4 linked regions of the Arabidopsis thaliana genome follow. The protein of the gene in region 2 interacts with the protein of the main gene of each other region in a pairwise test. Each region holds a gene or a part of one and is shown on either strand. Other genes may lie near its edges.

The links.
Region 1: the proteins of AT5G54630 (region 2) and AT3G56230 interact in a two-hybrid assay, tested with the Arabidopsis thaliana proteins (one large-scale study listed by BioGRID).
Region 3: the proteins of AT5G54630 (region 2) and AT2G38250 interact in a two-hybrid assay, tested with the Arabidopsis thaliana proteins (one large-scale study listed by BioGRID).
Region 4: the proteins of AT5G54630 (region 2) and AT1G47655 interact in a two-hybrid assay, tested with the Arabidopsis thaliana proteins (one large-scale study listed by BioGRID).

What each region holds. Positions count from the first base shown.
Region 1 is NC_003074.8:20,860,220-20,868,026, forward strand, and holds AT3G56230 (BTB/POZ domain-containing protein), read right to left. Parts: upstream 2,177-7,807; 5' UTR 1,917-2,176; coding exon 1,707-1,916; intron 1,575-1,706; coding exon 1,392-1,574; intron 1,136-1,391; coding exon 680-1,135; 3' UTR 501-679; downstream 1-500. Other genes in the region: AT3G56220 (transcription regulator), read left to right, coding at 1-83; CCH (copper chaperone), read right to left, coding at 3,241-3,521, 3,636-3,711, 4,175-4,183; AT3G56250 (uncharacterized protein), read left to right, coding at 5,865-6,222, 6,581-6,722, 7,002-7,062, 7,478-7,597. UniProt on the Arabidopsis thaliana protein: May act as a substrate-specific adapter of an E3 ubiquitin-protein ligase complex (CUL3-RBX1-BTB) which mediates the ubiquitination and subsequent proteasomal degradation of target proteins.
Region 2 is NC_003076.8:22,190,575-22,198,766, reverse strand, and holds AT5G54630 (zinc finger protein-like protein), read left to right. Parts: upstream 1-4,207; 5' UTR 4,208-4,506; coding exon 4,507-5,272; intron 5,273-5,507; coding exon 5,508-6,160; 3' UTR 6,161-6,400; downstream 6,401-8,192. Other genes in the region: Fh5 (formin homology5), read left to right, coding at 54-911; RAT5 (Histone superfamily protein), read right to left, coding at 1,488-1,691, 2,039-2,227.
Region 3 is NC_003071.7:16,015,745-16,023,965, reverse strand, and holds AT2G38250 (Homeodomain-like superfamily protein), read right to left. Parts: upstream 5,757-8,221; 5' UTR 5,583-5,756; coding exon 5,277-5,582; intron 5,030-5,276; coding exon 4,466-5,029; 3' UTR 3,810-4,465; downstream 1-3,809. Other genes in the region: AT2G38255 (hypothetical protein (DUF239)), read left to right, coding at 207-260, 1,440-1,622.
Region 4 is NC_003070.9:17,522,260-17,529,204, reverse strand, and holds AT1G47655 (Dof-type zinc finger DNA-binding family protein), read right to left. Parts: upstream 3,864-6,945; 5' UTR 3,769-3,863; coding exon 3,139-3,768; 3' UTR 2,897-3,138; downstream 1-2,896. UniProt on the Arabidopsis thaliana protein: Transcription factor that binds specifically to a 5'-AA[AG]G-3' consensus core sequence.

The sequences.
Region 1 (7,807 bases), on a different chromosome or scaffold from region 2:
ATGATGGAGACTGCATAGATGCTGAAGCAGTGAAACAGGCAGTGGCAGAAGCAATAAGGACCTGGAGTGATAGCCATGCATGATTCAAAAAGGCTAGACATATATGATCAAGTATTCATTAGATTTTCTATATATATAATTTACATTTGTTTTACCTAAAAAGAGATCTTTAGATAGACATATGATCAAGGAAAATAAATCAATTGTATGTCTCTCTGATTATCAAATCTGTCAATTAATTTCTTTAGCAGCAAGTTAGTTAATTCATCACTAATATGCGAAAACGTGTATAGCTTGATCATATTGGAGATTCAAAAGGACACTATTCCTATTCTCTAGTGAATTTGACCAGCTCAAAAGCAAAGAAGATCCTCTCTATCCATTTCGCTTCTTCAACTCTGTTCCCTTTTCTGTCGATTCGATTTTAAAACCGCCCAAGGGAACGATAATCTTTTGCCACTTAAACCCTTCGCTAGGTTATGAACGGTTAATACTTAATATGTCCCAATCGTTGGTTTGATGGGCTTTATATATGTTACTGTTAGTGGGCCGGAATATGGGCCATGCGTAAAACATATTTTCCTTTTATCAAACAAAGAAAAGGTCTAGCTTGGAAGATTAAAGATCAATCAAGTAACAGCTATAGAAGAAACATTCATTGATAATCTCACTAATTTAATTAGTCACGTCTCTTGCTTCTCGTTTCCATCAAGAACGCCCTTGTGATCTCCACACATAGATGTTGGTTTTTCTGAGAGAAAGGTTCGTACTTATCCGAGAAAACGACGTCGTCCATGTTCCGCACCACGAACCCTACACAAGCCTCCTTCAGCGTCTTGCTCGAACCAAGATCCGAGACATCAAGAACGTTAAGAACACTAGAGATGTCCAAGGAACTTAACATATATTGCTCGCACAACTCTTGCAAGTAATGAATCATGTACTTATCTGCTGCAATAAACAACGCGTAGACATTTTTCTCCAACTTATCTGAAGCCAATGTACCGGTGTATAGAAACTCCAAGAGAGCTTGAAGTTGCTCGGAATTTAGTTCTTGGAGCGTTATGGCGTATTCTGGAGCGGTTTTGCATCCATCTGAGTCTAGAATGTTCTTAAAGATCTCAGATTTTGAAGCCTACATATATATAAGCACCCAACTCGTTTTTAGAAAACAAAATTTAATGGTTGCGTCATGTTAAAATATTTTACTTTATTTTTTTTTCTATTTAATTTGTACTTTTGAAATTGTTTACATAAACATCAAACGCCATTGAATTTTTATTTAAACCCTATAAATTATTGTATTTTTAAAATGTCAACATCCTATTATAAAACTAACCATGCCATAAAATTAAATTTTAAAAGAGAGTAGCTAGCGATCATTGAATTACCAGCAAAGCTCTATGTGCAGGAATTGGAGGGCCATCATCGCCCGGTTTTAGAAGAATATCAGCATGAAGCTGTTCTTTGAAACCCGACACAAAGCTGCTTAAGAAGACTATTCTTTTCTTCTGTTCTTCTTCGGTTTCTTTCATGTTTTTCATCCATTTGATCACCTTCTCTAATGGTTGCGGCTGAAATTCTCGCACAAATATATAGTTAAAAATCATTAAGCCAATAAATTAATGTGTTTTGATTTCTAAAAAATAATTGAAATGTTTTATAAATTAAAGACTACTTAGTGCAAATACACATAAGAAGCTTACCTCACAAGAAAACAAAGGAGACGAAGAAATAGAGGAGCCATTATTGATGGTGGAATTATGGTTCGATTTGTCATGACGATCTTCTTTCGAGCCCTCAAGTTTCTTGAGCAGCGCAATTGTTGTTCTAGCCCCTTCGTAGCATGATCCACATATTGTGTTTCTTGGTGGTCTTAATATAGATGGCATTGTGGTGCAGATTGAGCAATCCATTTAATGTTCTTGGTTTGTAGTTTCCTCTTCTCTACCTCGCAATTTTTGGAGTAAACTTGAGAATATGAAGAAGATCAATAGAGGAAGATGATGGAGGAGCAGTTTCTTGCTTCGAACGCAAGTTGGTAAAGTATGGTTCAAGAATTGGTTAGAGATGGCTACGTTCTTGAAACATTTTTAAATATATTTTTCGTTAATAATCAACTCGGTACATGATTGTTTCCGTAAAGAGTTGTTGAGCATAATTTAACAAATAAAACAACGTAGATGAAATGATTAAGACATGAAGGAATCTTTTAGGGGCAGTTGTATAGTTGGAACTTGGAACCTTCATGGGATGTTATATACTTAATTAATTTAATGAAACAAATCCAATATATTTATTAATTTGTTTATTATATGCTTGACTGGATATATGTATATGCTTCGCATGTATATGATCGATGCTAACCGTACATAATTTAGTAAAGTTAACTCATGAAGAATGATTTAGAGAGTAGATAAGAATACAGAGATTTGAGATACGATAGATAGCTTCAAAAGCTAAAAGACGTAAAAAGTTGGTAAAGAAGAAAAGGACTTTCCAACCTTTCAACAGCAAATATGTGTAGTGTAAGCACGTCGCTCCTATAGCTTCAACATTAATTGACTTAATTTTTGGGAAAAATATTAATTAATAACTCATTAATTTTGTAAGAATGTGCAATCCAAATCTTAGCACGAATTGTTTTCTGAATGGATTAGCTAGATTAGTGTATACTAATCACACCCATATAGTAATTCAGGTAAGATGATAACTCAAATTTGAATCCACATGAATATTATGTACTATTAGGGCCACATATATAACAAAATAAGTTATTAGTCTATTTGGTTTTGGGCTTATATAAATACCAAGGGGAGTTCAAACTTCAAATCCCATCCTAATGTCCAACTTCTTACAAAAATATGTAAATAGACCAGAAAAACTTTTGCTTGGGGCTTCCAAGTTCTTCAGGCCGGCTCATCTTACAATTTTCTCTTGAAAATGGTTCATTCTGTTTTTGCCTATTTTCAGACAGATGTCTGAATGGATTGAGTTTTATAATAAGTCAAAGTTAAGACTCTCGCAGTATTTAATTAACTAGTAAAACACTTAAAACTTCTTATAAAAGAAAGTCGGACCAACATGGGTCCAACATCTTGTTATCAATAGTTGAAAAAGGTATACATACATAAAGATATTAGGTATTTAGAGGAAGCATTTCTTACAACAACACACAAAAGCAAAAGATAAAGAAGCATTGTAAAGGTAGATTAGCCTTCCTTTTCATCGTTAGTATACTTAAACTTGTGATGGCTTAGTCTCGGCTTCTGCGGCTTTTGGTTCAACATCAGCTTTTGCATCAACCTTAGCCTCAGTCTTAGTCTCAGCCTCGGTTTTAGTCTCAGTCACGGTTTCGACCTTAGGATCAGCCTCGGCTTTTGGCTCAGCTTCAGCCTCCACTGGCCAGTAAGAAGTCTTCTTTCCGGTCTTTGAAACTGTTTGGAAAACTGCTTCAGGCTCAACATTACCTTTCACTGTCACCTTTTGCTCCTTGATATCAATGTCAAATGACTCAACCCCTGAGATTATATAATAAATTATAGAGTCAATAAATTATAAGGCTTAAAATAAAGGGAAACAATGATTAGTAGAAAGTATTTGAAAGACATGAAAAAAAGATTAGAGAGAAATACCTTCCATTTTGCCTAAAACTCTATTGACGGCACCAACGCAGCCTTGGCATGACATACCAACTTTGAGGACAACGGTCTGCATTAATTAGACAATTTAATCCGAAAATGTAAGAACCATATCCATATACATAGGACCAATTCGGTCCAAATATATCAACAGCTAATTTTATCACAATTATTAACTGTTATCTTTTGTGCTCTAGCTTAATAATATTTACCTTTTTTGATGAATATTTCAAAGTGGTGCTAATCGGACATTATAGTACTTACAGATAGAACCTAGACCTAGACCAATCAATCTCTTTTCTTCCCTCTTGAAATTTGATATTAATTCATTCCAAAATATTTATTATCATAAAAACTGATTAATCGGACTCTCATAACCGATATATATAGACAATTGCTAGCATCTTTTTTGGAGATGGACACAAAAAGACATTCCTGCTTCCAGATCAATGTCTCTCAAAAACATTATTCCATCGTTTCATGGCCAAGAAATGGAGAAAAAAAGAAGAAGAATATCAAAGTCACAAAATTACCTGAGCCATGGCTAGAATAAGAAGAAAGGAAACGATTAAGCTTTGAGCCTTTGAGATCGATGGACCGAATCAGAGAATGAGATGCTTGTTTGTTGAATGAGAAGAAATGGTGTCTTCTGAATATTTATAGTAACGCAAAAGCAAAGATTCGGAGAAGTTAGCGTAAAGGAAACGAGAACATTATGAATTAGTGCATTTACCATATTTCCAATAATAAAGTATAAAGGTTTAGGAAGGTTAGTTATACCTGATGTGGAAAAAAGCTTACCAACTTTAAAATCCACTAACAGAAAGTACAAGTACAAAGAATTCTATGAGGTCTCCTTGTACTACACATGTTTTGTTGCAGTACCAATTACCTAATTTTTATATATATGGGGTCAATCAAAGTTTACTTTTATTAGATAGTAGTATTTGACTATGAACTTAGAGAAAACTATTTTTATCCTAATATTTTATTTTCAAGCTTTCTAAAGAATATCATGAACAATAAAACACAAATATTATATGTCAATCTATAAAAATATCATATTATACATGTGGAGTTTGAATGGTAAGCCGAACTAACTCATTTTATCTTTAGGTGACTAGGTAGTGGGGTGTATTGATACATAAATAATGTTGTCCTTTTCACGGATTGTTTTGCCAAAAACTAAATTTTTTGAATGATGGACAAAAGTTTCACAATTTGCGGTTTTACATTGTTATCATTCAAAATTGCGAATATCTTATCTATCACTATTCATATTGAATTTTATAATTCTAAACAGTAAGTAGCTGAATTTTCAGAATCGGTCATGAGACCAATATATTCTTTGATATTTTGTTGTTTAAAAAGTGGCTAAAAATCGATGTGTACCGTTTTTTGGAATCCTACTCGAGTGAGCATAGGAATGAGAGACTCAAGTATAATATGGTTTCTTATATGGATTCCCAAACTTTTTTTTGTAGTTAACATTATCAATATTTCCATTGTGGCTTTCCTATGCGACGTCCATCAAAGAAACACATCAGCATATATCTATCAATAATGCGTGTAGTTTTGAAATATGGCACTCATTCTCTGTCCCTCTCACCGAACCTATTCGAGGAACTCGTGTAATGACGATCGCAATTTACGTGTTTCAACACAACTCTAAAGATCTCATCACATAACTCGAAATGCAAGAATCTTTATATTCCAATCGTTATTGAAATTACGTATATATCATACAATGCTGAATCATACTTTGTCTACTTGGTGGTTACAAAGATTTCAGCCTCACATCACAATCACCTAAAGTTGCAATTCCTTTATTAATTGGTCAACAACTCGCAAGTCTTTGATACATAATGCTCTAATACTTTGCTCCCACTTCTAAAAAACAGTTCCCCTCTATACAATATATTTAATATTATCCTTACAAAAAGAAAAGCAATAATTTTGTTGATCCCCTACACCTCATCAAGTTCTAAAAAGGTAGTAGAATAGATTATGATATGGGCCCAGTGCTGTCAAAACAAAATCATGGGCCCAGTTGATAAAATAAAAAATATGGGCCCAACGATACTTTCCCAATTTGGGCTTCTCTTAAATCCTCAATTATTATCGTCTCAAGCTCTCTCGAGCCTTCTTCAGAACTCTTCTTCTTTTCGTGCTTTTCACATTCCCGCCAACAGAGAGTAGAAATCTTCTCCCACAAAACCTCAGATGAATCATCCCAAGATTCCGACGCCGGGTAAACAAATGGAAGCTCCTCGCTCCGTCGGAGGAAGAATACAGAGGAAACCGCTCGCGGATTGTACTAACACCGTCTCCAGATCTTCTCAACAGTCATCTTCTTCTGTAAAATTCGCGAATCCGAGTCTCACTTCTTCACTAAAGAGATTAGTAGAACAAACTACGCTCAAGGAGAAACCCAAAGATGTTAATACTTCGGCGACTGCTCCCGAAATCGCTTCTCGGCCTATTACCACGGACGTTAGACCCGTAACTCGCCGTATGTCTGCTGATCTGGCTTCTCCGGCCTCAGCTCCTTCTCGTCCCCAAACATCGCGATCTGATATGGGTAATTGATTTAGCTGCGATGATTTTGTTCCAGTTTTGTTATACTGTATCAAATTTTAAGGAATTTCATCTGAATTGAAATTGTTCGCAACTCTAGGGTTTTAGTTTTCGGGTTTTGGGTATTTTTAGGAATTATTGGAAGAAGGTTTAGATTGATGCTTGAATTTATCATGTTTTCTGTTATAGTGGAAGAGCACTAATTGGGTCACTTCAAATTTCCAAAACGGCACCAATATTGAGTGGATTGAAAATTGCTATCAAGCTAGTTCTCAGTCTCTGTTGATTTTCAATTGGTATTTTTGCAAAATTGGTTTCTGTGTCTATCTTATACTGATGTTAAATAATTGTCTTATGCTTAGGTGTTAGTGACAAGGATTTTACTGAGCCTTGGTCTGTTTACACGGTAAGAAGGAAGGCCTCTGGACAAAAAAGAAGTAAAGACGCATCTTCCTCTACTAGTGCAGCAGCTCGCATTCGTCTCGACTTGTCATCAAGCTCTGGGTATGAAACCCATTCGATCATATATTTGCTATGGGAAAATTGATTTGGCATGGCTAATAGTAGCTAATGTACATATGGAATCAGGATAGAATGTAGTTCATGCTGACTAATTTATTGATGCCTGTTCTTTTGAAAGAATCTTGTCAGTAAGAAATAGTAGATGAGATAACTTTTGTTAGTGTTACAGTTAACTTTCATCAAATTTGTTTAGCATTTTGTGGGCTGTTTATAATCAACCATGTTGTTGTTAGTTAATTTTCTTTGAAATTTGTATCACAGGAAGAAAACACGTCAAGCTAGTGAAAACAAAAAGAAGACCTTGAAAGTGGCTCCAAAAAAGGTGAATTCAGGAAAGCTCTGGCTGTTTACTTATCAGAACTGTAATAATTCTATGTTGTTATCATCTTTCTGCGAAAAAGTAGTCAATACTTTGATCTATTGGTTTTATGGCTCTAGCAAAGTGTATATCAGTGCATTGTATGTTTCAACATTGATTGTTCACAACGTTCTTCTGCCACATGTCTGAAACCAGTGCTACACATAGTTTGAAGTGAATTGCCTAGTCCTTCAGTTTCATGTATATTCTTCTTTTTTTCAAAAGTTGGATTTAGAATATTGTCACGAGATACAGTGGGATTACTGTTTAATGAGATATGCAATTTGGAACTCCCATTGTTCAGTTATAGAGCCTTATGACTATTGGTAACATATAAGTTTGCTCCAAATCTAATTCTGCATTTGTGGTTACATTACAGAGACAGCGGACGGTAAAGCAAGAGAAAGAGGATCCGGTTAGTGCAGCTTGTCAGGATTATATCGAGAAGCAGAAAGCTTACTTTGCAGAGATTGATGCATTTGAGCTGCCAGTAGAAGAGGTATCTAATAGCGACTCAGACTAAGTAAGAAGAGATAACAATCTTAAGGATATCATAGAGACACCATAACCCGTTCGTAATCACTGTATAGCTAAGGAGTATTCTCACAGGAAATGTTTCACTGGTCACTTAGTACACATGACACGTCAAATCTGTGTATACAAAATATCTATCGGTTTATAATATTTAACATCGTTTCAGTGGGAGAAC
Region 2 (8,192 bases):
TCAAGACTCTTTCTTCTCCAATCTAAACGTATATTCTTTGGTGTATATGAAAGGTTGCTTGTAAAGAACTTAGGGGAAGTCGGCTGTTCCTGAAGCTCTTAGAGGCAGTTCTTAAGACCGGAAACCGAATGAATGATGGTACATTTAGGGGTGGTGCTCAAGCTTTCAAGCTGGACACTCTTTTGAAATTAGCAGACGTCAAGGGAACAGATGGGAAAACAACGCTCCTCCACTTTGTTGTTCAAGAGATAATTAGGACTGAAGGTGTAAGAGCGGCTCGTACTATCAGAGAGAGCCAAAGTTTCTCAAGTGTTAAAACAGAGGATCTCCTAGTCGAGGAAACCTCTGAAGAGTCAGAAGAGAATTACCGTAATCTTGGACTTGAGAAAGTTTCAGGCTTGAGCAGTGAGCTTGAACATGTAAAGAAATCTGCAAACATAGATGCCGATGGTTTAACAGGGACTGTTCTTAAAATGGGTCATGCTTTGTCGAAAGCTCGAGACTTTGTCAACTCAGAGATGAAAAGTTCAGGCGAGGAGAGTGGGTTTCGTGAAGCGCTTGAAGATTTTATTCAAAATGCTGAAGGAAGCATCATGTCCATACTCGAGGAAGAGAAGAGAATAATGGCTTTGGTGAAAAGTACAGGGGACTATTTCCATGGCAAAGCAGGAAAAGACGAAGGGTTGCGTTTGTTTGTGATTGTGCGCGATTTTCTGATAATCTTAGATAAATCCTGCAAAGAAGTCAGAGAAGCACGAGGAAGACCCGTAAGGATGGCCAGAAAACAAGGCTCAACAGCCTCAGCATCTTCTGAAACTCCAAGACAAACGCCTTCATTAGATCCTAGGCAGAAGCTGTTTCCAGCTATTACAGAGAGACGCGTGGATCAGTCTAGTTCAGATTCAGACTAAAAAGTACAAATCTTTGGTTTCGTTACCTGTTAGGACATAATTCATCTGCTGTTTTGCTGAGAGCTTATCTTTTCCTGCTGTGAGTGTAATGGCATTAACCCTCAAGACATGTCAGGTTTTAGTCACTGATTATGAGTTTTTCAGATGTAATTTAAAGAGGCATAGACACTGTCACTCACTTGTACCAATTTTTTTCACATTTAGTCTTAGAAATACTTTCTTTTCATATTTTTTCAATCTTGTTGGCCATAGAATAATAATCCTTTGTGTTTTTTTCTTTCTTGTACTATTACTATCAACAACAAAGAAAATCTTTATACTTCTACAAAGTGCAGTGTTTGCTTGTTGAATAAGGCATCAGCATTTTTGAAAGACATTATCATTCATATTTCGCAAAATACTTTCATATATTCACAAAAACAGAAACAACATGTCGAAACAGAAACGGAAAGAAACAAATCCCTAAAGGAATTAAAAAAAGCAAAGATACAAAAAGTGAAAACATCTAGCTAGTTATTAGGTTATTAGATCTAAAGCCAAAAGAGAGACGTGTTCTATATCATTGTGTTAAAAGACCTAATCTTCCTGAGGCTTTGAAGCACCAGCCTTCTTAGGGAGAAGGAGATTGTGGATGTTAGGCATCACTCCTCCATTAGCAATCGTCACATCTCCAAGAAGCTTGCTTAGCTCCTCATCGTTTCTGACCGCAAGCTGAATGTGACGAGGAACAATACGTGTCTTCTTGTTGTCTCTTGCTGCGTTTCCAGCTAATTCAAGAACCTGAACAAATTCAAAACACACAATTCATGATCAAACTTTCCAAATTTGAGAACTTTAACAACTCAAATCAAATTGGTTACCATAATTGAAAAAAATTTAGAATCTTGCGAGAAAACTACAACGATTCATATGATCTCGATTACCATCAACCAATCAGAACAAACCCAAAATTAGGTCAATTACAGAACTACAACAATTCAATTCAAACACGAATCTAATTCAATTTTTGCATGTCAAATTCGGAAAATGTAAGAACCCTAGATTCGTAATCGATCACGCAAAAACAGAGTCAGACGAATAAGATCGGAAACGGAATGGGAAAGAGAGAAAAGACGATGTAATTTTACCTCGGCGGCCAAATATTCGAGAACGGCGGCGAGATAAACCGGAGCACCGGCACCAACACGTTCGGCGTATTTACCGGCTTTTAAGAAACGAGCGATACGACCCACCGGGAATTGAAGACCGGCTTTGCTACTCCGAGATGTAGCTTTCTTCGCCCCACCGGATCCAAGAGTTTTTCCACGACCAGCCATTTTCAACAACAACAACCCACAAAGAGCGCAAAAAAATCGAATTTTTTTCTTGACGAAATTAACAGAGAGAAATCTGATTGTTGTTTATATATGTTGGAGGATTAAGTTATTTGACCAATAAGAATAGAGTACGCGGATCGAAGAGGTTTAAACCGTTGATTATAATTTAATGAATGGCTACGATCTGAAGTTTTTTCTCCCACCGCTTGAACTTTTGCAGTTTTTGTTGGTTTCTTCTGGACGAGGGAATTTCCAAATTTTCCATATAAACCTCAATTTATTTTATGCCCTTGAAAATAATATTATGGGCTTGGAACGCTGAACAAATCGAATTGAGTTTACGAAGTAAATGGGCCGCTTATGGGTTTAGAACTCGCCCACCAAACCCCAGCGAAGAAAATGATTTAACATAGTCACTTTTACTAATTCTATTGTGTTGTTCATATTTTTATTGAACAACCATTGTGGAATTTTATCACTATATAAATTTGATGAATTACTAATCATATAAATAACGTTGGATTACTAAAAATGTCACTATATAAAAATGTTAAAGTGAGAAAAAGAACATGCATGAAAGAGAAGAAGTTTTAAGAGTAAATTGTGTTCACCAAATCTATTTCAATATTTATGGATCCAAGTCATACGGAAATTAAGATATATCATAGCTAGATTGGGGCAGACCAGTCAATGTGGTGTGGTCGAAATGATGGTCCTGTTGGTTTTAGGTTTTAGGGCAAAACTGGGTAACCCAGAAGAAGGACATGATCTATCAACATGTTTCAAAATTCAATTTCTAATTTAATGTCTTTCCTTTTGAATTCAATATGGCTATAACGACACCCACACCTACTTCCATTATCTACCCTTTGCGATATCTACAATTCGTAATAAATGCACTTTCAAAGTTTGACAAACTCACAATTCAGATTAGAGTTATTGTGTTTTGATCATTAACGAACTGTTATTGTCATCCATTCCTTCATGTTTTGAAGTCGATATGATGTAAATACTACAGTGTTACTTTATTAGGAACAGAGATAATGCAAAAATATTGATGTACTATCGTTGCGGTTTTACTTTCGTTTATACAAATAAATCTTATATTTCACCGTCCGCTCGTATAAACATATTATGTCAACTATTGTTATTTATCAAACTAGAGTGATAAAGTTACATGCATGGTGTAATAATAAGAAGTTTAGTATAAATTTTAATGGCTTGTTAAAATGTATATTGATTACTGTCTTTCCAAGAAATGTCAGAATGTTTCATATGCTCTTATGGGGCATTTAAGAGTGAATTGACAGATGCAAGCAGAAAGAAATGAAATCAATGTTCTTTTATTCAATTTTATTTCCTATAGCCATGCTATTAATTCATTAGTAATTCTCATTTAGTTGTCACTGACCAACAATTTGTCATCATTATTGCTTGGATTAACGTATTTATGAATAGTGAGTGAATACATATGTAGTTTTAGCCTGACTAGGTTTCAGACATCATAGAAGAATAATCAACTCTTTCACCATATAATCTCAAAGGTAAATTTAGAAATAAAATATTTGTTTCTTCTTGCGAGTAAAAGTACTTATTAGACCGGTGAACCTGCTCACGCACAGTCTCATTGATTTATGATCGTATTAACTGTAATTAAATTCTGTAAGAGAAAGTTAAAGGAAATTCCAAAAGTTTAGAAGTATGACATGAATTCAAGATTCTCTACACGGTAACTATAGGAAAAAAAGATCTTTTAAAAACCAAAATCATTGAATTAATCACGATTTATGGCTAATGTTAATTTTGTTAATGAATGCAAGTTCATGAAATTTAGCTTGTTTTTTCTTTTCTTATTACCGTGCATTAAATCAAGTTTACCACTAAAAAGATTCCAATATTCAGTTAATGTGATAATTCGTAAATATGGACTAGTCTATAAATTACTATTTCATGATTTATGAACATGTTGTGAAGTCTTTTCAGTTTTTACACTTTTAAGAATGGCAAAACAGTAAGTGAAAGAAACATTCTCTCGTGTTATTACTTATTACATCGGTGAGTTGAGACATCGTAGACCTCCTTCAGATTCATTTGCTCGTACATGCCTTCTAGAAAGAAAAGAAACTTGGTTTTTTAATATATCTCATAAGACAAAATCCACTTATTATTACCTATCATCCGGCGACAATATTTAATTTATATTTATTATAGCATCACTTCCAAAAATATTCAGAAGAAGAAGATAGAGAGAAAGAAAGAGAGAGATATCGACAACAACAATGGAAGATTCAAGCAAAAAAAGCCAAAAGAAGAAGAAGAACAAAAGCAAGAACAACATCCCAACTGTTTGGTTCTCACTCAAGAAATCCCTCCACTGTAAATCCGAACCATCTGATGTCCACGACCCAATATCCACCACTAAACAGCAACAACACCTCTCCACAATCTCCACCAAGAAAATCTCCGGCATATCATCCGGCGGAGCCGCCGTATGCGGTGGTGGTTTATCAGGATGTTCAAGATCAATAGCAAATCTCAAAGACGTAATCCATGGAAGCAAAAGACATTTCGAGAAACCACCAATAAGTAGTCCTCGTTCTATTGGAAGCAATGAGTTTCTAAATCCTATAACTCATGAAGTTATTCTTAGTAACTCAACTTGTGAGCTTAAGATCACTGGTGTCGGAGACATGGCTTCACCTGTCGGAGCAGCGGATTCCGGCGGAGGTGGCGGTGGAGGAAATGGTCGGTCTACGACTTATGTAGGGATGCTTAGACCAGGAACACCGATGCATTATCTTAACCATTCAGCTTCTTACAGGAGCCAAACAAGAAAGGGTTCGTTTGCTTTGTCGGAGAGAGATCGAGGAGGAGGAGGAGGAGGAGAAGGGTTAGGGTTTCATACAAACAGAAGGGTTTCATTGGAGATGAACAGAGAATCCACCATTAATGGAGGCAACAATTCCTCTGTTTCTTGTCATAAATGTGGTGAACAGTTCAATAAGCTTGAAGCTGCTGAAGCTCATCATCTCTCTAAACATGCCGGTAAGTAAATTTAACAAATTATGCAATTTAGGCTTCATAGTAACAAAAGTTAGGTTATAAAAATCGCAACTTTTATAAAGAAAAAAACAGAGTCTTGAAAAAAACAGAGTTTTGCAATTAACAATTCAAAGCTAAAATGTTAAACTTTAACAACATTTACTCTAAATTTCCGATTTTGATTATGCAGTTTGATTCAAAGTTTCTCAAATTTATATAACTTTCATCTAAATTGCAGTAACGGAGCTTGTAGAAGGAGATTCATCAAGAAAAATAGTGGAGATAATCTGCAGAACAAGCTGGTTAAAGTCAGAGAACCAATGTGGAAGAATCGATAGAGTTTTAAAAGTACACAACATGCAGAAGACATTAGCTAGATTCGAGGAATACAGAGAAACAGTTAAAATCAGAGCAAGCAAACTTCAGAAGAAGCATCCAAGATGTCTCGCAGACGGTAACGAGCTACTTAGGTTCCACGGAACCACCGTGGCTTGTGGTTTAGGTATAAACGGGTCAACAAGTGTTTGCACGGCGGAGAAATGTTGTGTCTGTCGGATTATACGAAACGGGTTCTCGTCGAAACGGGAGAAGAATAATGGGGTTGGTGTTTTCACGGCGTCTACTAGTGGAAGAGCGTTCGAGTCGATTTTGGTTAACGGTGGAGATGAGAGTGGAGATGTTGATCGGACGGTGAGGAAAGTGTTGATTGTGTGTAGGGTTATCGCCGGAAGAGTTCATCGGCCGGTGGAGAATGTGGAGGAGATGAATGGGTTGATGAGTGGGTTTGATTCTTTGGCTGGCAAAGTTGGTTTGTATACAAATGTGGAGGAGCTTTATTTGCTTAATCCTAAAGCTTTGCTTCCTTGCTTTGTGGTCATTTGCAAGCCCTAAAACATTTAGCATGTTGGGGAAAAAGATTGAATTTTCTTTTGTTGATAAATTTATGTATCGTATAATGAGAATTGAAATCAATAGATAATTGATATCTAGATTTTACTTATTTCAATTTTTTTTGCCATTTTTTTTTGAAATGGTAATGGTGGAATGAATCGATTTATTTGTAGAGTTGTCATTTTGTTTAAGCCATTCCACAATATCGATGATAAAAAAAGGAACAAAAATGTAAATAAAATTTCTTCCACATTTTCATGATCAACTTAAATTTTCTTCACTAAAAAGTGTGTCTTTTAGCTTATTTTTTACAAGTCTACGGTTTGATAAGGTTTACCAATTCTTTTTTGTCAAGTTTAGTTCTGATTAACCATTATACTTAGAATTTTAACAGCAAGAAAACTCTCTTACGTAGAGAGACAAACAAAAAAATAAAAATTGTTCATATTATGTTGTAGATTAAATTTGTATGTTAGTGTATTAAATTGATGTGAAATCAATGGTTAAAGATAGATGTCGAAGTTTCTCAGAGTGAGAATTTAGTTTCACGGGTGGCCCTGTTGGTAAAAGTGCTACTAAATGCCAAATTTCATCCAGTAATAAAACGTTATTGAGAAAGAAAGGGAACAAGAAATTCTTTTCTCCTTCATTTTTTTTTTTCAACGACGAAACATCAAAGAAGTACAATGATACGATTACAAATTCGGATATAGAACAATACAAATGAATGACTAATGAATGCCTCGTTGGGGACTTGTTATATTTTATACTACAGTTTGCATTTTTTTTCTTCATTTTATAGAATACTAATGAAACTAAACATTTTTAAAAAAATCAGCTATGACATGAAAAATTTATGGAATGTTGTTTCAAAAAATTTAATAATTAATTGTGATTTGTGAACAATGTTTTTACGAAGTAACGTAAACAATGTTCATATAAACAATAGAAGGCACTGTTTAGAATATACATATTTACTATCAGTTTCAAAATAGTACATTGTTAATAATAAAGATTATTAAAAATACTACTATACGTAAATAGTGATGTTTCATTGTTTCATGTACTATTTTTTTTTCAAATACTGTTCTGTAAGAAAATATTCGTTTTTATTTTCCTTCAAATATTTTGGAACTATCCCCTTTTAGTCCTGGATTATGTACAAGATAGTTTTATATAAAAGGCATGGCACATAAGAACAAAAAATAACATTGATGATAATTAGGCATTTTGTTAAAACGAATAAAGTAAAATGGTCCATTGGATTCATAATGGTAGCGAGACAAAGCTTACGTCAAAGGTGACGACAAAATTCTATCCCATGCAAATATTTATTTGGAGCTTTAAATATTTCTATCTGCAAAAGCCACCCACTCATAATTATCCTCTGAGAAAATGAGAAAAATCTGAATCTGTGAGCCCAATTATAAGCCGAAGTTTCAAATCTTGAAATTTTGAACTCTGAAAATAAATATATAGTGGATAATTATATACTTATATGTAATTATATATAGTTTTCTATATAGATATGTGCAGGGCAAAATAATATGATATTCATTTTGATTCATTAACAGTTAACTAACAACTAGTATGTTTTTTTTTGCTGACAATAATAAATACAACTAATATGTGTGACATACATTTTGATTCATCGCGGATAGTATATGGGAATGAAATTTGCAAATTGGTAGTGCACAATGTAAATAAATATGTCAAAATTTAGGGGAAATACATGAATAGCGTATATTCCTATTAACTTTGGATTGAAGATGAATTGTAAATGTGTTAATTGAGGCAGAACAAATTAAAATCATGGATAAAACAATAAAATTTGGATATCCATTTTCTCTAGTTTTAATATTATAAAAGGGGTATGAATATATTGTAAATATTGGAATGAATGACAACGAGGCCTGATATGGACAGTGTATCTGCTTCAACCTAAGTAACGTTGGGATCATACCACATGACATCTCAAAGAGAATTAATTTTGATTTTGATTTTTCAGTCGACAACAATATTTTTTTCTTTT
Region 3 (8,221 bases), on a different chromosome or scaffold from region 2:
TAATATTACTTATAAAACAAATTGTGTACAATCATATGTAATCATATGATTTTATACATGGAACTAATATACAATATTACAAAAATATTAACACTTAATTATTTTGGTTAATATTTTAATTTATATTAATATTGTAGACAAAAATATTTTTTTTTAAAAAATAGATAAAACACTCACTTCAGCATATATTTTATATTTATTTATAGGTGCATCCAAGATTATATGGGGATACTTTAACGCGACTTACGATATATTGGACTGTAAGTGAATTAATTATGTTTTTTTTTTTGTCGAATAATTGTGTTTTTTCATACATGAACAAAACAATAAAAAAAAACATTATTAGAAAAAATAAAGTCTTTATACCTAACCTTTACAAAATAAAGAGAATTTATAAAAGTACCATTTTTCTACTATTTTTTTGTAACAATATATTTTTTTGTTGGTCATTTTTAAAAATACTATTTTTTGAACAAAATGACCAAATTACCTCTCATCTAATGAGAATATGTAATTAGAAACAGAAATTCCAAAAAACAATTTCTCGCCAAAAAAAAATTCCATAACAAAAAATAATTTCCACAAAAAAATGCATTTGAAAATTCTTGTAAAATTTTCAAGAATATTTTAAAAACCCTTGTAAATCTTTCAGAAACTCTTAATTTTTTTTTTGTAAAGTTGTTAAGAATCTTGTAAATCATTTTAAAACCTCTTATAAAGTCTTTAAATACATATGTAAATACTTTAAAATCATTTTTTATTATTTTGAAACCATTATAAAAGGTTTTAAAATGATTTACAATAGTTTTTAAAGGGTTTTAAAACCCTTGTAAATGTTTTAAAAACTCTTGTAAATCCTTGAAAACTCTTGTAAACCCTTTAAAAATCTTTGTAAACTCTTTAATAATCTTTGAACCATTTTAAAACTCTTGTGAACCTTTACAAAATATTTTAAAAAGATTTACATGAGTTTTAAGTTTTTATAAGGTTTTAAAACTCTTGTACATGTTTTAAATTTTTTTGAAAAACCCTTGTAAATCCTTAAAATCCTTCTAAACCCTTTAAAAATCTTGTAAAAACCCTTGTAAATCTATTTCCCGCCATTTCTTTTTTTGCGGGAAAAATATTTTCGAAAAAAATAATTATCGGAAAATCTATCTTCTGAATATTTTAGGCAGAAAAATTAATATTTTATTTTGTTAACCTAAAACATTTTCAAAATAGGGGTAAAATGGTCACTAAAAATTAAAAGAGAGTATAAATAAAAATGACCAACATGAAATAGCATAGTTAAAAAGGGATAGTCTTGAAAGGGCATTTTTACCAATTTCTCTAAAATAAATCATATCTTTATATGTTTATAAAAAAAAAACATTTGATACCATTTTGTCTCTTTGTATCTCGTATCTCAAAATATTTTGCCTCTTTTGAATTTTTAGGCAGATGGGTATAAGAAAACTGGGTGTTATAATACAAATTGTCCTGGCTTTGTTATTATAAGTCGAGTTCCGCAAATTGGAATCGCTTTTAATGAATCCTCTATTTATGGTGGTAAAGGATCAGTTGTTATCAGACCACAAGTTTTCCAGGTAAATCTTCTTCACATTTTATACGACAAATAATTCGACAACAATGATAAGAATTTTAGTTATTAATTATTTTAATAACATGCCACAAATCCAAATTCTTTGTTAGGCTTTTGAAATAATCACATTCATCCGCATTATAATTTTCCATTTTGCAATATAGTGCATCAAAATTTCTTTTTAAAATAACATATATGCGTATAAAATTTAAATATTTTTGCAGTCATTTTCTAGTGTTTTATGTTTTGTTAGGATGGTTTCAGTGGAAACTGGGTACTAAAAGACACTGTCATGAACGAAATAGTTGGTTATTGGCCCAAAAAACTATTTACACACTTAAACAAAGGAGCTTCTTTGGTGCGATTTGGAGGAAATACTTTTACATCTCCGGATGGAATTAGTCCTCCAATGGGAAATGGACATTTTCCGGTTATTAGCTATTTTAAAAGTTCACATTATGTTCATGTTAAAGTTAAGAATTCAAATTATCAACTAGTTGATATTGAAAGCAGGAAAGCAAGGATATATGCAGATTCTTACCAATGTTATAGACTATCATACTGGGGTTATTTCAAGTCAACTGGAGTAAGTTTCTCTTTTGGGGGACCAGGTGGAAAATGTGGTATTTGATGACAAATGAATTATATGTATCGGCCGAAACTATATTAAAATTTAAAAGATAAATAAAATTTAACTAAACTATTTTCATCTTGTGAACAAAAAGTATTATAAGATCTTAAAAAAAACGCTTAAAGATGTGGGAATGAGAAAGTAATGTCAAATAAATCTATACTATATAAATGTTGAAACTATTTGCTTCTAAAGGCGTCTACATAGGATTTAGAACGACCAATCCGCGTTAAACATGTCATTAATTAACATATTTAGTATCTAATTAGTTAACAATTTTGAAAATAGTAATTACTTTCTATTTTAAAATTTAAAATAGAAAAGGAAAATAACAAATATTAAATTTAAACTTATAAAAAAAAAGAAGCTATAGAATTATAATTATGTAATATTAAACCCAAACCTTATAAGATCTTATACAAGTAATCCAACATTTTAATATAATTTAAAGAAACGTAACAAGGACGTGGTTTGATGGTGGTGTTTTTAATCGTATCAATTTGAATCAAGTTCTCGAAGATATAAACTAAGGTCTTTCAGTCTGGGAAGCGTGAAGGTGAAGAGGATCTAAACTGCATCAAAAAGGAGAAGTGATAGAGTTAAGTATCAATTTAGAAGCTAAAACGTTTTCTTAGAATAACAGAAAACAAAACAGAGTACATCTTGACGAGATTGAAAAATGCTTATACTAACAAGAAAAGGAAGAGATTTTCGAAGAAGAAATATGGAGCATGTGAAAATTTAAGAAGGTATGGCACATATTGCTTAGACAAAATCATAAGAGGATGAAAGAGACACTGTAAGAAAAAATGAAACAAATAAAACGAGTTTTTGCAAAAAGATAGGGAGAGTCATAGCTCTCTGTAAAAAAAATTGTGAAAGAAATTCATATACATATTGAAAAGAATGTGAGAAAAATATGAGTTGTTAAAAGAAAGTGTAGATAAACTTACGAATATATTTCTACAAAATATCTTATTTTTAGAAGAGCTATACTAACTAATGCAGCGAAGATAAACGAAAAACAATAGTAAATTTGCGGGTACCAAAATGAGAATCGTCGAATCTATTTCCTATACAACAATTTATTTAATACGTAAAAAAAGACGTCGTTATCCTAAATATCTAAAGCTAAAGAGAGAGTCATTAACCAAAAAAATGTTCTTTTGCTAAATGTTGTAAAATCTAAGAGTTGTATAAAGGTTATTTCTAGTTATGTATTTAAATTGTTACTATTTGTCATGATAATTTTAAAATTCAAAGAGTTTATAATATTAACAACAAATAGATATATAAAATCATATTTTCAAAATTTTCAATAAAATATTTTAGTCACACAAAAAACTGTTAAATTTTTTACAAATAAATCCACGCATGAGTTCATAGCTAGTAAATAAATAAAGAAACAACAATGTTACCAAAAAAAAACTGGTTAACGTATTTTCTAGAATTAACATGTGATGTGTATTTTATTCATTAAGCATCTCCTTAGTATATAATTATATAAATATAAATTTACAAATAAAATAATACAAGATCTTTACTAATCTTTATGTGGAAAACAAAAAAAAAACATAAGTAAAACAAATTTATGTGGATAAGAAACGCCATACGCATTCACGTATTATCTTGCCATGTTAGATATGATTCTCAATGTTACAAGAAAACATTTATGGTAAAATAATAAAAGTTTAGATCGCAGACAATGGACCTAAATGATCCCATAATTCATAGGATAAGTTTTCATTCTTGTTTCGAGCATGTTTAATATTTCCACTAACTGTTTTGCCCTCTTGATCTCTACATTCTCATCAAAGTTAATTAGTTCATAATACCATAAACTATTAGTATCCTCGTTCTCTTCTGCATGAAGATAATATTTGAAACCGATATTACATTCGCTGCACTATATATGGATTTGTAGGTTAACTCTAACAAAATCCAAATTACTCTAAAATACTACACATACGGTCCTACAAATTACTAATTAAAACCAGTATACTACTAAGATTAAATGATATGCTATAAGAATTTGGCTCGCCAAAATATAAACTAGGAAGAAATAATGTGGGGATGATAAATTACTAAAGCCTCACTAAAACTCAAATATGTCATCATATCAATCAATATATGAGTGTTGAGATTTGCCGTAGATATTATCTTCCCCCACCAAATAATTGTACCTACACTACACCCCAAACAAGCATATAAGAACAAGTTAATTTAGGTTAAGCAAAGCTGACAAAAGATTAGAGGGAACCATCTCTAGTAAGCTTAGCAAGCAATGCATTGATAAGTGAATCCCTCTTCTCTGCTCTCATCTCCTCCCTCGACCGCCGTTGCTCCTCTCTATCCCGCCACATCCGCTCCATTGCCAACCTCTCCTTCTCAAGCTCCTCCATCTTCCTTCTCCATTCTTCTTCTTTCTCTGCTCTTTCCTTCTCCCTAGCCTCCCATCCTTCTCTCCACTCGCTCTCCATTCTCACTTGATGTCTCATAAACTCTTCCAACACTTCTCTTACACCATTATTGCTATTACTACTATTACTACCGCCTTTTCGCTTCTTTGCAATGTTCTTTTTCGGATTTAGAATTTTTGGGTCGTTGCTGACATCTACTAGCTCTTCATTCACATTCTCTTCTTCCTCATCTGAAGAATACTCTCTCTTTCTCGCTGCCCCGCTTGTTCCCCCTCCTCCTCCCTCGGATTCAGCCCATAGCATTCTCTGCATTCTAGTGGTAAATATATTTTGCATATCATCATAAAAAGGGAACTGTTGTCTCGCTGTCTCTGCCTCCATTGTCTCACATCCCTAGAAACATCAAGCAATACATCACCAATGAGATTGTATACATATAATTAAACTACTTAGCAGATTATGGACAACAAGATTCAGAAATATTTACAATGGTGTTTGTCTATATGTCCCGGAAAGATTATGGACTATAAGATTCAATATTTCTTGGTTACAAATTTTTATTTATTTATTTGTTCCATGCAAGACCTCCAAGATTATAAAACATCCACAAAATGAAAGAAGAGGGAGAGAGAGAATAGACCTTAAAACGAGTGACGAGGTTCTTCCACTTGCACTTGCACTGTTCAGGGCTACGAGGAAAGCTTTTGTCTCTCATCTTGTTAGAGATAACTTCCCAAAGAAGCTTGTTCCGTTTTGTCTCCATGAAAGTTTGATCTAGCTCTCCTCTTATCCCTATCAACTCTTTTGTCTCTTCGACGCTCCACTGTGGAAACCTATCCCCAACAGCTACCGGAGAGGCTATTTCCGGCGTTTGCGATTGAGTATGAAGATGATGCTTGTTGAGATATTGAAGCTGGTGAAGGTGATGATGCTGATGTCCATCCATATGAAAGAATCAAGAAGAAGAAACTATAAAAAAAAAATAAAGAAAAAAAATCACCAAACGATCTCTAAAGCAAAGATTTTGAAGAAGCTTTCACTTTTTCAGATCGAAAAACAAAATATTTCTTGTTTTTCTTTATCTTTTGGTTTTTGTGTATTTGTAATGTGAAAACGTTGGAAGAAAGAAGTCTAATTTTCTTTGATCGCAATTCTTTTCTTCTTCTCCACTCTCTCTTTCTCCTGTCGCCATCTGTCTACGCGTTTACTTTTTTCTCTGTCTTGGATTTTTTCTAATACAATTTACTTTTTTTTTGTGTGTCTTCTTTTGACAAAATATTAAAAAGAAAAAAGCTTTCGGCAGATTTGTCATTTCATTTCTAATAGTATATAATTAGTTAAAATATCGATTGAAATGGTATTATAGAGCAAAGGATAATTAGCGTCTTAAACTACCAGTCAATTCGTTAATAAAAGATATGTTGACTGGTGATCAGGAGAGATGTGGATATTTCTATCGTTATCTCATAATGTAATCACTTTCATTTGACAAATAGTATTCTAGATTCTGACAGTCGACATATTTGTCAAATATGTGTATGAAATGAGTTTATTACTGAGTTGGTTTGGTAAAATGGTAGGGATAATAAATTTAATTAAAATGATGATAATTTTTTATATTGCTTTAAATATAAAAAACAGTAAAATATTAAAGAGAAAGTCAAGTCTTTAAATAATATAATACAATTTTTCTTTTGTCAAAATAAATTAGAGTGAAAGTGTAAGAAAAACATAGGTGAGTGGTAAATATTTCCTATTGAGTTATAGAGCTCTTTATGTATTTTCTGTTTAATCTGCTTTTTCATTCATACTATAATGAGGAATCAAATTGATGTGACGATAACATTGCGTTGAGGTTTCATCATCACCGCGAGAAGTTTCGGTTTGTATACTTTTTGTAATAATACTGTGTGGTTATTAATTCTCGGCGACCAGTCATATCCTTAGCTTCATGCCCAAGTTTCTATTTACTACTTTGTCTTTGTTTATTTTTCCCTTTTTCAACAAAATTCGATATTTTTCTAATTTTGAGCACCTTTTTTAAATACAAAACTAGGTGACTTCTCTAGAATCTCTCGTTTCCTAAATTCCTTCACGTGTTATTCCTTGTATGGTTATCAAAATAACAAAAGTGTTGGAATGATTTCTTCATTCACGAAATGACAAATTATAGTGTGACACGTGCGTGGAACTAGCCAGCTAGGAACAACATTCTAGAGATGTGAAACTTGTTAGGCCAATTTTGAATTTTTTTAAAAGCATGAACATGACAAAAAAAAGCATGTGCCAAACTAATTCATTTTCAACTTAAGGTTTATTATGGGTTGGCAGCCCAAACCCATTCTACACAGTTTGGGCCCAATTTGTCTTCGAGTGATGTACAATTTGGCAATTGGACTCACATAAGAACAAATTTTGTGTAACCCCTACAATAGATGAAAACTGCAACTCTCTTCTAAAGTAAAGGACTAAAGTCAACCTAGTCCCTTAAATGAGGTTTGGAAAATTCTTTGTCTGCCTCGTTCACTTTTATTTTGCCTCGTTTTATGTATCTGTTGAAGGAACACCACTTGGTTGATTATGGTACGAAAAACATGTTATTTGGACTTTCACCAAATTTATGTCGATATAAAAAGATCAGTACAAATTTGTTATTGATTTTATTTTTAGAGGCTACATTTCCTATGGTTTGTGACCAGACTATAGCTAGCTACAATTTTTTTATTGTATTTTTATTGCGAAAAACTTAGTTGCATATATTATTCACTAAAACAGAGATTTTTTGTATAGTAAACAGTGAAGGTAAAATTGTTAGCAAACAAAAATTTTGTAGAGTCAAGAAAAGAATTTTTATATATATATATATATATATTTTTTAGAAACAACATATTTTTAATAATAAAAATAGGAAGCTTCAAATACAGCATTGAAAAGAGTTTAACGAAGAATTTTTGTTTTCGATTGTATTTAAATTTATATAATATATACAAACAAAAAAAAAAAAAAAAAAAAAATTGTCACGTGTGCGTTTGGTAGCTGTAAATGAATGCATCTTACACAGTAGCCCACATGTCGATTTTGGTTTTTCTTCATTTTTTCTTCACCACATAGCTGTTGTCTTCAAAACAATCAACGAGTTTTTTAGATTTGTTGATTTTGTTGTTTTGGATTATTGTTGATTTTGCCATTTTAGATTTTTCACTTTATCTATAAAAAAAAAAAAAACTATTTTCTGCCACTTAAAAGCTAAAATTTTGAGAAACTTTTTAAATAAAAATATGTATTTGAGAATTTTGTTTCATTATGTTTCCATTTTTTTTTTATAAAATACATAATAACAAATATTATACCCTAAAAAAATAGAACCAAGTAAACCTAAATGTGTAAATTGTAACTTTAGATATAATTTTTTCGGCAAATCTATGAATGCCACTAAAAATCCTTATCTGGTAATTGATTCATTTATTTATTTATTTATCACACTATATCACATCATTTACGTTCACAATATTCAACATATTAGGCGGACAATTTCTTTTGTCAACATCACGGATCTAGTATTTCCTTTTGACATATCTCGATCTA
Region 4 (6,945 bases), on a different chromosome or scaffold from region 2:
GGGACTAATTGTGGGATACGGGCTTTGCCCTCCATGCCCAATTCGGCCCAAACACAAATAGAACAAGTCAAGAAAGCTACTAACAAGGAAGAACGGCCCATCAAAACAACGGCCCATCAGAATGACTGCTCGGCCCATCACAGCTCAGCCCATCACGGCTTGGCCCAGCCCGATAAATTTAGAAGGGCAAAACGGAGAAATCGCAAGAGAGACTAAGAGAACCCTAGATCAGCTTCTTGCCTATAAATAAGAGGAGACACTACTAAGAAGAGGGATCCAGAACCTAAGTCACCACTCAGAGGATTTAAGAGAGAATTGCTGCCTAGCTCTTTATCTCTTATTTTCTGGTTTTCCGTTCTGTATTTTCTGGTTTTCCGACCATTAATATCGATTTTCCGACCTGTACTTTCGGTTCTCCGTTCTGTACTTACGGTTTTCCGTTCTGTTAATTATTGTCTTTTCGTTCGTCATTAATAAAGAAGCTACTCCGTTCTCCCCAAACCCCTTAATAATTATTGTTACAACTTCGGTACAAACAGAGATCATTCCCAAAATTTTACTACCGCGGTCTCACCCTTTTCATCCTCATATCCATATACTGCCTTTACATTCACCATTTTGTGAAAGTAATAAAAATTACATTAAAATATATATTTTTTCTTCTAAAAATTGGTATATAGTATGCTTTTGAAGATATATAAAAATTATTTTTGTTACTTTGTTAAGTGAAGATATATATCGTATGTTTATTTCTTTGCATTTTTACAACATGTAATAATTTTTGTGGGATTTAGATAATCAAAATCTTTTTTGTTTGGTTCATAGATTAATCACCTATTAAATTTTCAAACGTGTTTTACTTTTAACAATAAATAAGCATGCTTGGAAAAAAGAAACTCTTTTAGTCATGACTCATGACCCAGTATGTGTGTATCTTATCTTCAAAAACCTTGTTGAAAGCTTTTGCAACAACCAAGTTTAACTAAAACTAAAAGTCAATAAAACAAAGAATTGATATAAAATGTCAACATTGAAGCTTATCATATATATAGTAGCCTCTATTCTATCTTTCGGTTATTTAAACTATTAGTTATAATAATTTTTGCTGTTCCTTTTATTCATTTGGTAATCAGTAATCATAGTTAGAAATTCTATATTGATCTCGTAAAAAATATGTGAAAATATTGGTCTAATATTATGCTTTTAGTTTGGAAAAAAACTGAGGAGCATAATAATAATTGATGTAGGGATAAGCCAAGAGAAGTCACAACACACATGCTGAGAGATAATGATGTAAGAAGCCACAAACTGGGAAACGGCATCATAGTTGTATAATTATGGAGATAGATAAACAAATGTTGGGTGGTTGGTCATTAATAACTATAGACAACCTTTGGCTCAAAATAAACATTCTTTCGAGGATTCAATTTTCGTGTTTTTTCTCAGCAAATGATTCAAATCTCATGATGACTCTGATTTAATTTGACAATTGAAGGTCAATGACACCCACTTCCACTGTTGAATAATATATTAAAGATGACAAATTTTTATGGGAAAGTAAAGAATACTTAATAGTTAACACTTTAGTTTTTGTAATGATCTTATGATGGCATGCCACCAAAATGCTTAATCTATGTTTTCGAATACAGTAGATGCAAATAACTTATTTGAAATAAGTTTCGATTATAGACGTTTATAGGAATAAGAAGTGAGTGGCAAAAAAAAAGAAAAAAAATTTGATTAGTGGGATAGATATCAATGAAATTAAAAATGAAAAGAGTTTAGGGATGAAGAAGGAGTCCCTTAATTATTATGATTGAGAAGAATGCAAAATTTGTTAATGTGAATAAAAAATAGGTAATATGATAACTTAGAGCATAATACGTAATTGTTGTTCTATAATATTGTTGTTAGTTGAATTCGTAATGATTCGAGTATTAGGAGCAAACGAATCTGTGCAAATCAACAAACAATCAAAACCATCTTGAGCCACCATGTTATGTTAGTGTTCTCTCTAATACATATTTTTAAAAATGTTCAAAGTGCTCAAAAGTTACTCGTAAAAAAACTCCAAAAAATGTCCCGACGTTTTTTTTCATTTAACAAAAGGTTCAAAAAATGTTTTTGCCCCTAAGGCTCAAATATATGTTGGGCCGGAGCTGTAAACACACCTTGTGTTTGTGGATTAAGGATGAACATGACTCAAACTAAGTTACTAAAGAATAAATTTGACATACAATTAAGTGGAGCTGATTACGCTTTGACTGAACATTGTTGATTGATTTAGGTGGGCAAAAGTTTTATTAGTTGGTAATAAACTTGAGCATCATTCTCAATATAGTCATGATGTAGTTACCGTTAATTATATTCAACACAATTCGTTTTTCTTGCTTTGACCACAATAGGAGACTACACAACAATATCTATTAGCTATATTCCCTACATTCAAATTTTATTTGAACGTTTAACCAAGTACACTCTAGCTGAGATGTTTGACACAAGGATTAAACCTAAAGATTTTTACAAAAAAATAACACTAGCTGATAAGTACACCATAATCTACATTAACCCTAAGAATTTCTAATCCATTGATCGAATGAAAGGTTTTAGTTCTTAGCATTCATATGAATTGTCTCATATGCTAAACACTAGACTCACATGACTTTGATATACAAAATCTTCTACACTGCAAATGAACAATGTTGTTGTTGATGTTTATCTATAATACAAACAAAATTAAGTTCAACGCAATTTCCTCATTTCAAAGATGTAGCAACAGAGCATCTCTTACTCACTTCTGCAACAGTACTTATGTACTTTTTCCCTTTTTGGACTTTTATGCTCAATTCATCTTTCTACATTTGACTATTCCTTTCAAAATATTAACCAACCAAAATAAAAAGAAAGAAACGTTTTTACTTTTTACTTGTAAATCCATTCCAATATGTTCGTCACATAAACAGAGGATTTATACACCAGAATTGTTGGACCTCAAAAACTAAAATAAATAAAAACATTTTTGCTTCAATTTGGTTTCTTTTGCTCTTCTTTCTAGGAAAAAAAAGAAAACAAACAGAAATTTCCAAAAAGACACCAACAAAAGAAGACAAAGGCAAGAAATCAGAAACGGTTTCATTTTCACTTAACATCGTTGGTTTGCATTGAGATCTCAAGACCAGGCCATATCAAACTGTCTCCTCCACTTTTACCTTCAATCTCCCCAATCTGCCACGTGTCACCACCACAACCATCAACCACCGGAATCTCTCCTACGGAAGAATCTCCAAGATACCCAATACTCATCTCCTCAAGCCCGTACCCGTACCCAAACCCGTAATCCAACCCACCATTTCCACTTCCTAAACCTAACAGAGAAGCAAAGCTTCCATGACCTGAAATTAAATTAGTAACCTTAGTTTGACTCGCTTCAGTCGTGGCTGGTTCTTGTGTCGTGGTGGTGATGACGGAAGAAGAGGAGGAAGAGGAGGTGGCAGTGGTGGAGAAAGAACGGTGACGTTTTGAGGAGCTTCGACGAGTTCCACCACCGACGGGGACGTCACGGAGTGTACCACCTTGAGTCCAGTAACGGCGGCAAGATTTGCAGTAGTAGCGAGGCTGAGCGAGGTTATAGTTGTTGTAGTAACAGAACTTGGTGGTGGTGGAGTTGCAGCGAGGACAAGGAAGAGGCTCAGCCAGATTTGGCGGTGGGTAAGCCGCCGTTGAGGGCTGAACTCTGGTGGGTCGGGTTTGGTTTGGTTCCGACGGCATATTAAGTTGAGAGTATGAGAAAACGAGAGAGAAGTTAATGGAGAGAAGAGAGAAGAGAGAAAGCGAAAGAGAAGGGGATGTTGTGAGAGTGGTGATGTGGTTTTTATATAGAGGCTTTTAGACGTTTTTTTCAGTTGCCTTTTATTTATTAATTGATACATATGAATTTAATTTATTTTCCCCTTCTAAAAATAATTTAATTCATATTTAGTTTTTTTTAAAAATAATTTCTTCTATATTAAATTTAACTAAAAAATGGTTAAAATATGAGAGTGGATTTAAAAATAGTATTTACTTCGTTAAAATGAATTATTAGCGGAATAGAGATGAGAGAAAAGTTTGTTGAAGATATTATGAAGCCTTTTCTCATTAATTGTAAAATGATTCTGTACAAATGTCTTATATACTTTACACTATACAATGGTTCTACTAAACCAACTAATACCAACTAAACCAATATACATATCTGATATGCCCCCTCAAGATGTGCATGAAAAGATATTAAGAATGCTCATCTTGGATTTAAGGTGTTCGAATTGATGGGGAAATAACGGATTAGTAAGAATGTCCGCTACTTGGTCTTCAGTTCGCACATGAAGCAACTTCAGCTCGCCATTGTCTAGTTTCTCCCTAACCGTGTGACAATCTAGCTCTATATGCTTCGTTCTTTCATGGAACACAGGATTTGTGGCGATGTAAATAGCAGTTGTGCTATCAGAATATAACACAGGAACCAAGTAGCTAGCTTTTAAAGACATGAGCAAAGTGTGAAGCCATACCAGTTCACACGTAACCAGTGCTAAGGCACGGTACTCAGCCTCTGCAGAAGATCTGGAAACCACATGCTGTTTCTTGGAACGCCAAGATATCAATGAATCACCCACAAACATGCTGAATCCAGTTGTTGATCTCCTACTATCTGGACAGGAAGCCCAATCTGAATCTGCAAAACCTTTAAGAGTAAGATCTGCAGATGCAGAATAGAACAGACCTTGGCCAACACTGCCTTTGATATATTGTAAAACTCGATAAGCAGCTTGAAGATGAGACGTCCTAGGAGCAGAGGAAAACTGACATAACTTGTTAACTGCAAAGGTGATGTCAAGTCTAGTAATTGTCAAATACATCAGCTTTCCTACAATACGACGGTATTGTTCTCTATCATCCAACAAATCACCATCAGTCTTCATCATCTTCACATTCGGGATCATGGGAACTGAAACAGGTTTACAGTTAACCATACCAGTAGATGCTAATAACTCAAGAGCATACTTTCTCTGGCAGATAGAAATACCAGCTTCAGTTCTAGCAATCTCAAGACCCAAAAAATATTTCAAATCCCCAAGATCTCTTAACTTGAATCGCTGTTGTAAATCCTGAGTCAATTGTATTGCAGCACCTTCACTTGTACTCGCAATAGCAATATCATCAACATAAACCAAAACAATCACAAATTCTCCATCATACTCTTTAATAAACAAAGTATGATCACCATGTGTCTTCTTAAAACCCAAATCAAGTAATGAAGCAGAAAACTTCTTAAACCACTGACGAGAGGCCTGTTTCAAACCATAAATGGATCTCTTCAATCGACAGACTGAATTAGGAGGTAGAGTGATACCTTTCCTTGCCGCATAACCTTCAGGTAACTTCATGTAAATCTCTTCCTCTAACTCACCATTCAAGAAAGCATTAGACACATCAAGCTGTTTTAAGAACCATTTCTTAGAGGCAGAAATCTTCAATAACAACTTGATTGTAGTCATCTTTGCCACTGGAGAGAAAGTATCTGTATAGTCTAGACCTTCTTTCTGAGTGTAACCCTTAGCAACCAATCTAGCCTTATACCGCTCAAGACTGCCATCTGCCAAAAACTTCAAACTGAATACCCATTTACACCCTACTGCCTTCTTCCCTGCAGGTAAAGTAGTAATCTCCCAAGTGTGTGTAGTTTCCATAGCACCAATCTCTGCATCAACAGCCTCACATCATTCTTTGGTGTCCTGTGCCTCAGCAAATGTGGTGGGAATAGGAATTTTTGTGATATTATTGATATAACACATGTGAGATGGAGAAATTTTAGAGTAAGAGATAGTAGAGGAAATAGGATATTTGTGATTAGATTGCGTGATGTTGCAATGATAATCTGACAGATGAGCAGGAGGTTTCCTAACTCTCTGTGAAGAAATTTGTGGTGGTAGATCAGAAATTTGTGATGGAAGAGAAGAGATAGGAGATTGTGTAATACCTGAGGACACAGGAACCATTGGAGTAAACAACTTCAAAGAACTCTCTGACTTTGGATCCACAGCCAATGGAAATACCTCCTCATGAAAAACAACATTCCTTGAGATAAACACAGTGTGACTCTCCAAATCCATTAACTTGTACCCCTTGTAACCAGCAGGATATCCCAAAAACACACACGCTTTAGATCTCGGCTGAAACTTATGTCTTTTTTTGGCGAAGTAGAACTGTAACACAAACAACCAAAGGTTCGAAACTGCTCATAAACAGGAACTGTACCAGTGAGAATCTCATATGGAGTCTTGTTTGATAAGAGCTGGGAAGGTGTCCTGTTGATAAGAAACACAGCCGTTAACACACAATCACCCCAAAGAGAGAGTGGTACCTGAGATTGGAACATGAGAGCCCGAGAAACATTGAGTATGTGTTGATGTTTACGCTCAACCACTAAATTCTGCTCCGGTGTTTCAGGACAGGAATGAAACGAAACAATCCCTTTCTGCTGATATAAACTTGTGAATTTCAATTCTGGTGCATTATCTGATCTCACTGCCTTTACTCTCACTTTATACTGATTCTCAACTTGTTCAATGAAAGCAGGAAACACAGTAAGAACTTCTGACTTGTTTCTAAGCAAATAAATCCATGTAGCTCTGGAATGATCATCCACAATTGTCAAAAAATATTTATAGCCATCCACTGTCTCAACTGAAAAAGGACCCCAAATGTCAATGTGTAACAAATCAAAGATTTCATTACAAACTTTATTCTGAGAAGGGAAGGGTAACTTTCTCTGTTTAGCTAAATGACAAACATGACAATAATCTGAGCCTTTATTCTTAGGCTTAGTAGTCCCCAAAGAGTCTGAAATAACATCCAATCTCTGTAGAGAAGCATGACCAAGTCTTCGATGCCACATACTGATATCAA